Linked DNA regions of Anolis sagrei. The protein of the gene in region 2 binds, or shares a complex with, the protein of the main gene of each other region. Links are inferred from orthologs where the notes say so. Each region holds a gene or a part of one and is shown on either strand. Other genes may lie near its edges.

Region 1 (7,609 bases), about 120 Mb from region 2:
ATTGCTTATTGGTAATTTATGGATAATGTGTTAAGTCAATTGTTATATGTTGTATGGAACCACTGCTGTTTCTACTGTTTTTACTGTTTGTGAACCGCCGTGAGTCGCCTTCGGGCTTGAGATACAGCGGTATATAAGCAAAGTAAATAATATTGTGCTCCAAAACTCTGTCTGTCTGAATTTGGAAGTCCCAGAGGAGTTTGACGTGTTCATTTTCTGTAACTTTTTCCAGCTTGTGATCCCACCAGTTCTTTCTCGCAGGCAGATGGTATTTGTGGCACAAGTTCCAACGAATCATCTGAGCAACTGTGCTATTATTATTATTATTATTATTATTATTATTATTATTATTATTATTAGAGCTGCAAGACCAAGAACAAGCCACAAGAGTAAAGATGAAGATCCACCCAGAGGAAAAATGTTCCTGCCATACATCAAGGGAACCACTGACTGCATAGGGAAGCTGATGAGGAAACACAACATACAAACAATCTACAAACCCACCAAGAAAATCCAACAAATGCTACGTTCAGCAAAGGACAAGAGGGATCCTCTCACCTCTGCAGGAGTCTACCGTATACCATGCAGCTGTGGACAAGTCTACATAGGGACCACCAAACGCAGCATTGCCCAAACAAGAATCCAGGAACATGAAAGGCACTGCAGACTACTCCAACCAGAGAAATCAGCCATAGCAGAGCACCTGATGAACCAGCCTGGACACAGCATTTTATTTGAGAACACAGAAATGCTGGACCACTCTCACAACCACCATGTCAGACTACACAGAGAAGCCATTGAAATCCACAAACATGTGGACAATTTCAACAGAAAGGAAGAAACCATGAACATGAACAAAATCTGGCTACCAGTATTAAAAAATTATAAAATTGCAACAGCAAAAACAGCAGAGAGAAAAACAGGCAGGGACATCTAATCACCTTTCAAGAAGAGTTTGCTCCAGGCACAGTCAGCCCATTGTATGCTAATCAAGGTGGTCAGTTGAAAGATCCACACCCAGCCCAACTTACAAAAGCCTTTTGTCTCACCCTGGTCATTCCAGAGATATATAAACCCCCTTTTTTCCCAGCTCCAGCAGACCTCACCTCTGAGGAAGCTTGCCATAGATGCAGGCGAAACGTCAGGAGAAATGCTTCTAGAACATGGCCATATAGCCCGAAAAAACCCACAAGAACTGAGGGAATATTATTATTATTATTTACCTGGAATGCTACAATGGCAGAACTCCATCTTCGTAGTTACATTTGATAATTCAGAATTTCAGCCAAACGTTAGACAAAAGGTTTTTTTAGATTTTTCTAGAGGTAACTTTCCTAGAGGGAAGTTACTTTCATGTCCTGTCCAAAAATCGAAGATCCATACTTTGTTTTTTAACACAATTGGGAGGTCAGGAGTATTGTGCTCCAAAACTCTGTCTTCTTCTTGTTGTTGTTGTTGTTGTTATTATTATTATTATTATTCGGCAGGGCTTGGATAAGTGGTTCTCAACCTGTGGGTCCCCAGATGTTTTGACTTTCAACTCCCAGAAATTCCGACAGCTGGCAAACTGGCCGGGATTTCTGGGAGTTGTAGGCCAAAACACCTGGGGACCCACAGGTTGAGAACCACTGGATTAGATGAAGCAGTAGTAGACACCTCAGTTAAACTACTAAGCTGCTGACCCTGCTGACTAAAAGGTTTGTGGTTCGAATCCGGGGAGCGGGCTGAGCTCCCGCTGTTAGCCCCAGCTTCTGCCAACCTAGCAGTTTGAAAACATGCAAAAGTGAGTAGATCAATAGGTACCGCTTCTGCGGGAAGGTAATGGTGCTGGATGCAATCATGCTGGCCACATTACCTTGGAGGTGTCTATAGACAATGCCGGCTCTTCAGCTTAGAAATGGAAATGAGCACTACTCCCCAGAGTCGGATTCGACTAGTGTCAAGGGGAAACCTTTACCTTTACTAAACCAACTCGGTCGCTTTCACTATGTCACCAATTTGGGGAGATGGTGGTGGGGTATAAATAAAGTTTATTATTATTATTATTATTATTAAATGGGTAGAAAGGTGGGTAATGACAGTGCGACTAATCAAAATTGGGTGGAGGTAGTGCTTGTAGTTCTGGAGGGACTCTAATTTTTGCTTCTCATATATTTGGGATTGGGTTGACCTGCAACATTTTGGGGTTGGTTTGAACCCCTAAACCGCCCCTTTGGCTACGGCAGGGTTTCTCAACCTGGGGGTTGGGACCCCTCGGGGGGGGGTCGTGAGGGTGTGTCAGAGGGGTCATCAAAGATGTAATCTATGTAATTTCTTTATGCTTGTGGGTAAACAGTATTTCTTGTTGTCTCTTTGTCAGTGTTGATGTGGAAAGTGTCCGGTTTGCCTACTCTGGAAAATGCAATATATTATTGTCCTTCTTTAGGGGTCCCTTTAAAATCTATGATATTACATCTGTGTGTGTGTGTGAATCATATCTATCTATATATATCTATGGCTGGATGGCTCTTTGTCAGGAGGGCTTTGATTAGATTTTCTTGCCCTGGTGAAGAGAGTTGGACTAGATGGCCTCAAGTATTTTCTGTTGGTGATGGGGTTCAGCGTGGAAAATGTGTCCCAATTCTGTTGTTTGTGGGGTTCAGAATGCTCTTTGTTTGTAGGTGAACTATAAATCCCAGTAACTACAACTACCAAATGCCAAGGTCTATTCCCCCCAAACTCCACCTGTGTTCATATTTGGGCATATGGAGTATTTGTGTCAAGTTTGGTCCAGATTCATCATTGTTTGAGTCCACAGTGGTCTCTGGATGTAGGTGAACTACAACTCCAAAACTCAAGGTCAATGCCCACCAAACCCTTCCAGTGTGTTCTGTTGGTCATGGAAGTCCTGTATGCCATGTTTGGATGAATTCCATCATTGGTGGAATTCAGAATGCTCTTTGATTGTAGGTGAACTATAAATCCCAGTAACTACAACTACCAAATGTCAAGGTCTATCCCCCCCCCCCCCAAACTCCACCTGTGTACATATTTGAGCATATGGCATATTTGTGCCAAGTTTGGTCCGGATCCATCATTGTTTGAGTCCACAGTGGTCTCTGGATGTAGGTGAACTACAACTCCTACAAGGTCAATGACTGCCAAACCCTTCTAGTCTTTTCTGTTGGTCATGGGAGTCCTGTGTGTCACCTTTGGTTCAATTCCATCATTGGTGGAGTTCAGAATGCTCTGTGATTGTAGGTGAACTATAATTCCCAGCAACTACAACTACCAAATGTCAAGGTCTATTTCCCTTAAACTCCATCTGTGTTCATATTTGGTCATATGGAATATTAGTGTCAAGTTTGGTCCATCATTGTTTGAGTCCACAGTGCTCTCTGGATGTAGGTGAACTACAACTCCCAAACTCAAGGTCAATGCCCACCAAACCCTTCCAGTGTGTTCTGTTGGTCATGGAAGTCCTGTATGCCATGTTTGGATGAATTCCATCATTGGTGGAATTCAGAATGCTCTTTGATTGTAGGTGAACTATAAATCTCAGCAACTACAACTCCCAAATGACAAAATCATAATTTTTTGAGTGATGGTCACTCCTTGTGTTGTGAGATGTTTTGTAGCCAAATTTGGTGTGATTTTGTTCATTGGCTCTTTTGTTTTTAAGGTACTCATTATGCACAGAGCATTTATATATATATATATGGCACAAATCTATATATATATATATATATATATATATATATATATATATTTCTGTTGGTCATGGAAGTCCTGTATGCCATGTCTAGAAGGGTTTGGTGGGCATTGACCTTGAGTTTGGGAGTTGCAGTTCACTTACATCCAGAGACCACTGTGGACACAAACAATGATGGAGTTGACAAATCTATATAGGTTTGTGCCAAGTTTGGTCCAACTCCATCATTGTTTGAGTCCACAGTGTCTCTGGATGTAAGTGAACTGCAACTCCCAAACTCAAGGTCAATGCCCACCAAACCCTTCTAGTCTTTTCTGTTGGTCATGGGAGCCCTGTGTACTAAGTTTGGCCCAATTCCATCATTGGTGGGGTTCAGAATGCTCTTTGATTGTAGGTGAACTATAAATCCCAGCAACTACAACTCCCAAATGACAAAATCAATTTTTTCGAGTGAAGGCCATACATTGGGTTGTTAGGTGTCTTGTGTCCAAATTTGGTGTCAATTCGTCCAGTGGTTCTTGAGTTCTGTTAATCCCACAAACAAGCATTACATTTTTATTTATATAGATTGGGTTGACTTGCAACTTTTCGGGGTTGGTTTGCACCCCTCACCCGCCCCTTGGCTACAGGCTTGCACCAGAGTGCATAGCGAGGAGGGAGGCCCAGTGGCTCGCGCGCCCGCCTCCCACTCACCTTCCTCTTCCTCCCACGGCCTCCACGCGGGACTCGGCCGGCTGCTTTCCAGCGCCGGGCCCTCCTCTTCCGGGACCGGCCTTCGAGGAAGGAAGGAAAGGCAGGGAAGGAAGGAGGGAGGGCCTAAGAAGAGCGCCGGGGCCTGGAGGCGGCCTCCGCGTGTGTTGACAACATGGCCGCAGCCCGGCGGGCTCAGGCGCTGCGCCTCTACCGGGCCCTCCTGCGGGAGAGCCAGGCCTTCGCCGCCTACGGGTACAGGTAGGACGAGGAGGAGGAGGAGAGGCCTCGGCCCCGTCCCCACGCCCAGAAAGGCCTCCCTGTCCACAGGGTTTCCTTCATCCCTTATAGGCACCAGTGAATGTAGAAAGTATGCTTCCTAGCCTCATGTTATCCTCAGAAATCCACTGATCGGGGTGGGAAAACTTCAAGAGCTAATACAGTTATTATTATTATTTTTATTATTGTTATGAGCTAAGGACCCTTCACCTGGAAGTGTCTTCTTCATGGTGGTGTCCTTGTAATTATTATTAACTAATACCACCATGATCAATAATAACAACAATATAATTAATAATAATACTACCATGATCAATAATAACAACACAATAATACGACCATGATCAATAATAATAACAACATTAAAATCGTGTTACATAGTTCATGCTATCATTATTCATACCACTATGTTAAGTAGTAATAATAGCACAATAATTAATAACACCGCCATGCTTAATAGCAGTAATACCATAATTAATAATAACACCATGATTATTAACAGTAACACCATAATTAATAATAATACCTCTATATTATTAAAATTGTGTCATATAGTATATGGTATTATTATTATTATTCATACCACTATGATAAGTAGTGGCACAGTGGGTTAAAGCGCTGAGCTGCTGAGCTTGTTGACCGAAAGGTCTCAGAATGGCGTGAGCTTCCTTGGTCAGCCCTAGCTTCTGCCAATCTAGCAGTTCAAAAACATGCAAATGTGAGTAGATCAATAGGTACCGCAAGGAGCCCCCGGTGGTGCAGTGGGTTAAACCCCTGTGCCGACAGGACTGAAGACCGACAGGTCGCAGGTTTGAATCCGGGGATAGGCGGATGAGCTCCCTCTATCAGCTCCAGCTTCTCATGCAGGGACATGAGAGAAGCCTCCCACAAGGATGATAAAAACATCAAATCATCCGGGCGTCCCCTGGGCAATGTCCTTGCAAACAGCCAATTCTCTCACACCAGAAGCGACTTGCAGTTTCTCAAGTCGCTCCTGACACAACAAAAAAAAAAGATACCGCTCCGGCAGGGAGGTAATGGTACTCCATGCAGTCATGCCAGCCACATGACCATGACAATGCCGGCTCTTCGGCTTAGAAATGGAGATGAGCACCACACCCCATCTTTAATAATAATACCACCATAATATTAAAATTGTGCCACATAGTGTATGGTATTATTATTATTATTATTATTTATGATAACAATAATAACATTAATAATAATACCACTGTAATATTAAAATCGTGTTACATAATGTATGGTATTATTCATGCCACCATGATCAATAATAACAATAATAAGAATAGCACCATAACTAATAATAACACCACCATGATATGAAAATCATCTTACATAGTGTATGGTATTATTATTATTATTATTATTATTCATACCACCATGATCAATAATAACACAATAACTAATAATACTGCTGCCATCATTAATAATAACACCACCAGAATTAATATTAATATTAAATTGTGTTACATAGTGTATGATATTATTATTCATACCACTGTGATCACTAGTAATAATAACACCAGAATGTATAATACCACAATGATTAATAGCAGTAATACCATAATTAATAATAGTAACACCATAATGAATAATAACACCATGGTTAATAACAAGAATAACACCATAATTAATAATTATATCACCAAGATTAATAATAATAACACCATACACTATGTAACACAATATTATTGTTTATGGTGTTATTATTATGGTGTTATTGTTATTATCATGGTGGTATTATTATACACTATTACATAGTATATGGCATTATGAATCACAATATTTATTTATTGGAGTCAATTTTTACCCCGCTTTTCTCCCACACCAAGGCAAGACTCAAAGCAGCTAACAATACAATAAGAACATACAAAGTAAAGATTAAAACAGATTCAAACCAATAAATTCCTTATAGCAACCTGATTGAGTCTCAACCAATTCAGCAGTTTGTGGCAGCTACAAAAATGATGTTTCTGAAATATAACAACTTTCAAAGTAAATATTGCAAAATTTAACAGGAAATTGTACTTTCAAACCAGGAACAGAATCTTTTTCAAATTGTATGACATAGTGATAATACCACCATGATGAATATGACACCACCATAATTTATCATAATAATATGAATACAATGATAATAATGCTATAATAATACCACAATGATAGATGATAATAAAATACTATTATTAATATTAGCAATGTCAGGCTCTGCATCTCGTAGTGCCAGAACGCTGTCTGTTCAGTGCCTTCCAAGTTGCCCAGTCTTCTCTGTGCCCAGGAGGGAGTCTCTCATTTGGTATCAGCCGTAGATTGAGGTTCCAGGTTTTAGCCTGCCATTTTTGGATTATCATTTGTGGAGGCATTCCTGCAAGTATCTTTGTAGATCTTAGAAAACTATTTCTTGATTTAAGGCGTTGATGTGCTGGCTGATATCCGAACAGAGAATGGGCCAGAGATGTCTCTGCCTTGGCCCTTTCATTATTGGCTGCTACTTCCTGGTGGATGTCAGGTGGTGCAAAACCAGCTAACAGTATACTTCTTCCAGTGATGTGGGGCATGACATTATTACATTATTACATTATCCTGTGATAATGTGTATGTGTCATTAAGGGCCAAATCCATTATTTTAACTGTGAAATGTGTTCTACACTGGACATGCATATTCAGCAACAGAATAGCAAAGCTCAAGGGCAGATGTCTTCACTGTGTCTGGTTGTGATCCCCAAGTTGTGTCAGTCAGCTTTCGTATGATATTATTTCTACCACCCACTTTTTGCTTGATATTCAAGTAGTGCTTCTTATAAGTCAGAGCACGGTCCAGGATAACTTCCAGGTATTTTGATGTTGCGTCCTTGGGAGTGTTTCCTTCATAATGGTAATAGTATTAATAGTTTTTAAAAAGTTCTGGTAAAACAAAACTGCAGAGGG
Region 2 (7,816 bases):
AAGAAAAGGAAAAAAACCCCAACAAAAACAATTATTAACAACAACCAAAACCAACAAAATTTAACATTAGAGAAATTGACCCATTTCAGAATGCATAACGTGGTAGATCAATGAGTTTAGTAACTATTCAATAATTTCACTACTAAGACTTTTGTTTGGTGAAATGAAAGTGATCTGGACCTTGAATCTGTAGTTGTTTACACAGTAATAGACAAACAGTGGCAGAGCAATACCAATTTGGAAATGATTCAGGCTTTAAGTGCTCCTTGATTGCATTATTCATGCTCCTGTAAGGGAATGAACTTAATGGAAAGTACCTACTGAAAGCACCATCAGTGCAGATGCTTCAGAAATCACTCAATAGGAAGAATACAAGTTTTGAAACTCAGAGAGAGGAAGGCATGACACACTCAGCACTCAGGGTCTTGTAGCACATTTGGGGCAGCTTGTGAATCGGCACCACAAGAGAGGGAGGTACAAACTGCAGTTCCATTTGTCTGTATAACCCATTGAGGATGCATTATATTGTAGAATTACAGCAGTTTGGCACCACTTTAACTGCCACAGATGAATGCTGTGGAATAATCGGAGTTGTACTTTGATGTGGCACCAGCACTAACTGGGAGAGAAGATGAAAGACATTGCAAAACTACAACTCCCACAACTCTATAACATTGAGCTGTGGCAGTTAAAAACAGTGTCGAATTGCATTGATTCTACGTTTGTATCAAAAGGGTAATAATAAATAATAATAAACTTTATTTATACCCCACCACCATCTCCCCAATGGGGACTTGGGGCAGCTAACATGAGGCCAAGCCCTTTAAAATACAATACAACACAATAAAATACAGAATACAAGAAACAAAATGCATCAGAAAATAAAATTATAATAACAAAGTAAAATAATAAAGCAAATTCACACAATAAAATCAAACAGGGTGGGCAGGCCAAATTGATGAGGTAAAATGACAAAACCCTGGGTGAGGTAGGAATAGAAAATAGGTAAAGGTAAAAGGTTTTCCCCTGACATTAAGTCCGGTCATTTCCGACTCTGGGGGCTGGTGCTCATCTCCATTTCTAAGCCGAAGAGCTGCTGTTGTCCGTAGACACCTCCAAAGTCATGTGGCCAGCATGACTGCATGGAGTGCCGTTACCTTCCCGCCGGAGTGGTACCTATTGATCTACTCACATTTGCATGTTTTCAAACTGCTAGGGTGGCAGAAGCTGGGGCTGACAGCGGAAGCTTACACCACTTCCCGGATTCGAACCTTTCGGTCAACAAGTTTAGCAGCTCAGTGGTTTAACCCACTGCGCCACCGGGGGCTCCAAGAATAGAAAATATGTAAGGGAAAATGAAACAGTGGGGTAAGGCTTTCAGTTTAGAATGGGGAAAAGTGCATCATAGGGGTAACACAAATGGAATGGATGGTCACTCTCCAAAGGCACAATGGAAAAGCCAGGTTTTCAGGTTTTTCTTGAAGTCTGCTAAGGAGGGGGCTAACAAATCTGATTTAGTCAACTTTAGGTTCAGCTTTGTTATTTGACGTGCTGATTCAGAAAATTGCAGTGGATAAACCACATCAGCTCTAGTTTCTGATACAGAACATATCCCATCCAGTAGTCACTATCTACTTGCCAACAGAAAACCATATTTAATAAGCCTCGGCACTATAAGAGGGTTTTGTGTGACCAGTCGCGCTCGTTGCAACAGTGTAGTAACAGTGAGGCCATGAACTGGGACTGTGGTGCAGCTGGCTGGGAGTCAGCTGCATTAAGATCACTACTGACCAAAAGATCATGAGTTCGAAACCAGTCCGGGTCAGAGTGAGCTTCCGACCATTGTGTGTAGCTTGCTGTTGACCTTTGTAGCCCGAAAGACAGTTGCATCTGTCAAGTAGGAAATTTAGGTATCGCTTATGTGGGGAGGCTAATTTAACTAATTTACAATGCCATAAAATCTCCAGCAAGCAAGCAAGCAAGCAAAGAATGAGGAAGTACTCCATCAGTGTCTTAAATGGACGGTGAAGCGACAGCTCCCCTGGTGGCCAGAATTGTCGCATGAAAGCTGGAAAGTTAAATAGTCTCTGTGTGTCTGTCTATATATGTTGTGTGTCTATGTCCTTGAATGTTCGCCAGGTATATGTACATTGTAATCCGCCCTGAGTCCCCTGGGGGGTGAGAAGGGCGGAATTTAAATACTGTAAATAAATAAATAAACAAATGTTGAGGATCCCCACAGACCACAGGTTGGGAACTATTGATCTAGAGGGTTTTTGACTCTTCTCTGAAAGAAATGTCATGCTTTTATAAAAAAAAATATAATCTCCAAAAGAAGACAATTATGCTGGGGAAAATGGAAGAAAAAAGGAAGAAGGGCCGACCAAGGGCAAGATGGCTGGATGGGATCCTTGGAAGTGACTGGATTGACCTTGAAGGAGCTGGGGGTGGTGATGGCTTCCGCCCCTCCAGAGGAACAGTGGACATGATCTTCACTGGATGACAGCTCCAAGAAAAATGCAGGGAACAAAATCAACCTCTGTACATGGCATTCATGGACCTTGCAAAGGCATTCGACACAGTGAATCGCAGCGCTCTCTGGACCATCCTCCAAAAAATCGGATGCCCTAACAAATTTGCGAAAATCCTGTGGCTCCTCCATGATGGCAACAGTCTTGGACAGCAATGGCTCCCAAAGTGACCCATTTAAGGTGGAATCAGGCATCAAATAGGGAAGTGTTATTGCCCCAACTTTCTTCTCCATCTTTGGGAAGCCCTGGCCCTTGAGCGCTCCAGCTGGAGGTCAGCTGTGACCAGCAGTGCTGCAGAATTTGAAGAGAGAAACATGCCAGGAGGAAGGCACATCAAGCCAACCCCGACCGAGACCGCCTTCCACCTGGAAACCAATGTCCTCACTGTGGGAGAAGATGCAGGTCAAAAATAGGGTTCCACAGCCACCTACGGATCCACAAGAATACAGATCATGGAAGACTATCTTACTCATCCAACGAGGGATCGCCTAAGTGTAAGATGACGGCCGACAGGGAGCTCTGCTGTGGGCTGGTCCATGCGGTCACGAAGAGTCGGAAACGACTGAACGAATGAACAACAACAACTCCAAAAGGTTATGAATGCCTGTGATGTCTCGGCCTAGTTCATTTTCCTGTTTATTTCCCTGGAGTTAGACGGTTCCATTCTGTTAAGTTTTAGAGTAGGAGCTTAGGCTCCCCCTATAGGCTGAGCTCTTTGGTTCAGCCCATTCTGCCTGGTGAAAGACTTTTTGGCTCCATTCCTTTTGGTCATAGTTTATAGATAGTTGCCAGAAAAGTGTCTGGTCTGGTTTGCAGTCCGTACAGGCCATCCTTATCACATATTTGCTTTAGAGTTTATAGTAGATGTTATAAAGAATAGATAATATATGCTTCATAGAATTCTTAGATAATACATGCCTTAGAGTTTATAGTTTATAGAATACTTACCTCATAGATTAGAATATACATCCCCCAATAGTTAATAGTTATATATGCCATAGTTATAGCACACACTTGCCATAGTTTATAGCAGGGGTCCACAAACTTTTTAAACAGAGGGCCAGGTCACACTCCCTCAAACTATTGAAGGGCCGGATTATTTGAAAAAAACATGAATGAATTCCTATGCACACTGCACATATCTTATTCGTAGTGCAAAAACCACTTAAAAACAATACAATAATTAAAATGAAGAATAATTTTAACAAATATAAATTTATTAGTATTTCAATGGGAAGTGTGGGCCTGTTTTTGGCTGATGAGATAGGTTGTTGTTGTTGTGTACTTTCAAGTCGCTATAGACTTAGGTTGACCTTAAGCGAGGGCCGGGTAAATGACCTTGGAGGGCCGCATTTGGCCCCGGGCCTTAGTTTGAGGACCCCTGGTTTATAGAATACTTACCTCATAGAAATTATAGTTTGTTACCTCAGAGTTTATATTTCACTGTTCTAACACCATCATAATCAAACTGTACTTTTATACCTTGATTATTCAGTAAACAATTGTTGAACTTAATCTTGTTTGTAGAGTTTTATTTTGGGGGAATTATAGTAATTTAGGGCATACCGATGGTCACTGGGAAAATAGCCAGACACATTTAGTTTCTCATTAGATCTTCCCGGCGTGCCATCATAGCCATTTTCCAAAACCTAGGACTTGTAGTTTTACAGGGCCTTTAGCGTTCTCTGTGAAAGAGCTACCAAACGACAAAGCCCATGATTCCACAGCAGGCATGGGCCAACTTGGGCCCTGCAGGTGTTTTGGACTTCAACTCCCACCATTCCTAACAGTCTCAGGCCCTTTCCTTTTCCCCCTCAGCCGGAAAAGGAAGGGGCCTGAGGCTGTTAGGAATGGTGGGAGTTGAAGTCCAAAACACCTGCAGGGCCCAAGTTGGCCCACGCCTGTCCTACAGCATGTGACATAACCCAGGACAAGGCCTGTGGAGCTTTCCTGTCGCCCATGCGGGTCAAGGAGTCCTTTTTACCAGGGTCATTTCTCTTGCTCAATGGGAGAAAAGGAACTTTTTGCTAAGAAGGCTTGAGAGCTCCCTCCTTCTCCCCCCTCTCCTCAGAAGAGGCCCCCTCAAACAGCCCTCTTTACCTCGACCGCTCCGAGCTCCGCCAAACCCCGCTCTGCCTTCTTTTTCTTCCTTGGGGCGACGCTTCCGTCGCGCCCTGGTGATGTCACAGGAAACCAGCCTCCCTCTGGCGTCGTCTCTGAAGGAGAGAGAGAGAGAGAGAGAGAGAGAGAGCCAGGGCCAGGCAGGCAGGCGCGATGTGGGTGCTGAGGCATGCGCCGCGGCGGGTCTGGCGGGTCTTCCAGGCCAGGAGGCTCTCGGGCCCCGCTCAGCAAGAAGGTAAGCCTCCCCTTCGACTTCCTAAGTGCCTTCAGGAGTCACCCAGGGGCGGAAATAACGCACCCCTTGAACTGCCAAAGCTCAGTGTTATGGAATCATGATAGCAAGGCACCAGCACCCCTTGGCAAGGAAAGAGAAAGGCCTTGTAAAGCTACAACTCCCAAGACCCCATCGCATGCAGTCTTGGAGCTTGAGTTTTTAGGGAAAGCAGCTGGTGCGGCTTGTCAGGGATGGCAAGAGTTTTGTTGTGGCTGAGCAAGGGCAGACTGGTTATATAATCATCATCATCATCATAGAATCAAAGAGTTGGAAGAGACCTCATGGGCCATCCAGTCCAACCCCCTGCCAAGAAGCAGGAATATTTATTTATTTACTTTACTTTACTTGTATACCGCAGTTTCTCAGCCTAACAGGCGACTCAACGCGGTTTACAACAAGGATAAGATCAATCAACGATATACAATTTAAAACCATTAGAGCACAATATACAATATTGACACAACAATATTGCATTCAAATCACCCCTGACAGATGGCCATCCAGCCTCTGTTTAAAAGCTACCGAACTACAAACCCCATGATTCCACAGCAGGCATGGGCCAACTTGGGCCCTGCAGGTGTTTTGGACTTCAACTCCAGAGAAGCCATTGAAATCCACAAGCATATGGACAATTTCAACAGAAAGGAAGAAACCATGAAAATAAACAAAATCTGGCTACCAGTATTAAAAAACTCAAAAATTACAACAGCAAAACAACAGAGGGGAAACAAACAGGCACATAAAATCACTCTCAACAAAGGATTCCCCCCAGGCACTTCCAAGCCATTGAATGCTAATCAAGGTGATCAGCTGAAACATTCACACCTAGCCCCAGCAGACAAAAGTCCTTTGTCCCACCCTGGTCATTCCACAGATATATAACCCCATTTTTCCTACTTCCAACAGACCTCACTACCTCTGAGGATGCTTGCCATAGATGCAGGCGAATCGTCAGGAGAAAAATTGCCTCCAGAACATGGCCATATAGCCCGGAAAAACCTACAACAACCCAATAATAACTTTATTTTTATACCCCGCCAACCATCTCCCCTAGGGGACTCGGGGCGCCTTACAAGGACACGCCCAAAATTACAATTAACGCACACAACTAAAACACTTAACCAATTAAAACATCAGATAAAAACAAATAACAGCACAATTGAAAGCAATATAAAAATAATACGGCTGAAAGAAACATAGCTGAGGTATAGATTCAATGAGTGCAATACATTTTTACAGGAGCGCAGTAAACTGGGCAGGAAATACTGTCATAACACATGTTGAGACTGGTTGGCTTTCCCCTGACATTAAATCCAGTCGTGTCTCACTCTGGGGTGTGCTGCTCATCTCTATTTCTAAGCCGAAGAGCTGGCATTGTCTGTAGACACTCCAAGGTCATGTGGCCAGCATGACTGCATGGAGTGCCATTACCTTCCCGCCAGAGCAGTACCTATTCATCTACTCACATTTGCATGTTTTTGAACTGCTAGGTTGGCAGAAGCTTGGGCTGACAGCGAAAGCTTATGCCCCTCCCTGGATTCGAACCTGCGACCTTTCAGTCAACAAGCTTAGCAGCTCAGTGGTTTAACCCACTGCGCCACTACACATTAGATAAGATCTCAAGTTAGATAAGGTTTGCACTTTAGGCTGTATTTTTCCATTACTGCCTTTCAGTGTAGTTGTACTACTAGTAAAAAGGTCAAGGTTTGCCCTGACATCAAGTCTAGTCGTGTCCGACTCTGGTGGGTGGTGGTTACCTCATTTCTAAGCTGAAGAGCTGGTGTTGTCCATAGACATCTCCAAAGTGATGTGGTCAGCATGACTGCATGGAGCACCATTACCTTCCCACCAAGGTGGTACCTACTGATCTACTGATTTGCATGTTTTGCATGTTTTGAACTGCTAGTTTGGCAGAAGCTGGGGCTAACCGCAGGAGCTCACCCCACGCCCTGGATTTGAACCGCCAACCTTTCAGACAGCAAGTTCAGCACCTCAGCACTTCGCCACTAATACCACTAGTATTATTACTACTAGTAATAATAATAGTCATCATATTTTATTTGTTAACACCCCTCTTTGATGCAGTTAACAACATAGGGTGCATCTACACCAGGCATGGGCAAACTTGGGCCCTCTGGGTCTTTTGGACTTCCACTCCTACAATTCCTAACAGCCAGTAGGCTGTTAGGAATTGTGGGAGTGGAAGTCCAAAAGACCCGGAGTGCCCAAGTTTGCCCATGCCTGATCTACACTGTAGAATTAATTTATTTTGGTACTGCTTTGGGTGGAATAGTACAGTGCTATGGAATCCTGGGAGTGGTAGTTTGGTGAGTCACCAGCAGAGAAGGCAAAAAACCTCCTAAAGCTACAACTCCTATGGTTCCCTAGCAGTTAAAGTGGTGTCAACTGCATTGATTCTACGACATATGTAATCATTATAGTTAAATTACATAACTATAAATCAGATGTAATATTTGGTGATAGTGGAAGCAGAGCGTGAGTAAGGATTTTGTCAACAAAGGTATTTCACGCACCATCGACCCGGATAATTCGGGCTGTGACAAATGTCTTCCCTCCTCCCTGCATTAGCCCATGGTTCAGACAGGAACAGCTCTTTCTCCTAGCGTTGCATAAGTCTACATTTCTCTTCCTCCTTTTATAACCCAGGGCAGTGTAGTTGTATCCTGCTGTCAGTGATGAAAGACTTATTGATGCAAAGCTACTGCAATTTCTTTCGGAGGGAGTTCTTTAAACGAAAGCTCTGAGTTGATAGATTTGCTTTGGTAACTCTAATGGGAACCCAGTAGCATACATCTGAAAATGTTTTGACAATGAAATAGACTACTTTAAACATTAGCAGACTGTCAATTTCATCAGAAGCTTGTAGACC

What was found. The genes of interacting proteins can lie anywhere in the genome.
Region 1: the proteins of NFS1 (region 2) and LYRM4 are in contact, whole or in part, in a crystal structure (PDB 6W1D), measured with the Homo sapiens proteins. The link is inferred for Anolis sagrei from reciprocal best matches to the Homo sapiens genes NFS1 and LYRM4. Residues at the interface, in NP_066923.3 of Homo sapiens: Leu56, Arg57, Pro58, Leu59, Pro68, Leu69, Pro71, Arg72, Leu74, Asp75, Leu78, Glu314, Tyr317, Arg321, Asp372, Arg412, Phe413, Thr414, Thr415, Glu417, Glu418, Tyr421; in NP_065141.3 of Homo sapiens: Phe23, Tyr26, Asn27, Tyr28, Thr30, Tyr31, Arg34, Arg35, Asp38, Val65, Arg68, Gln69, Ile72, Thr78, Asp79, Lys80, Leu81, Ile82, Ile83, Asn85.

What each region holds. Positions count from the first base shown.
Region 1 is NC_090024.1:86,268,210-86,275,818, forward strand, and holds the start of LYRM4 (LYR motif-containing protein 4), read left to right. Parts: upstream 1-4,556; coding exon 4,557-4,642; intron 4,643-7,609.
Region 2 is NC_090024.1:207,092,739-207,100,554, reverse strand, and holds the start of NFS1 (cysteine desulfurase), read left to right. Parts: upstream 1-4,757; 5' UTR 4,758-4,805; coding exon 4,806-4,887; intron 4,888-7,816.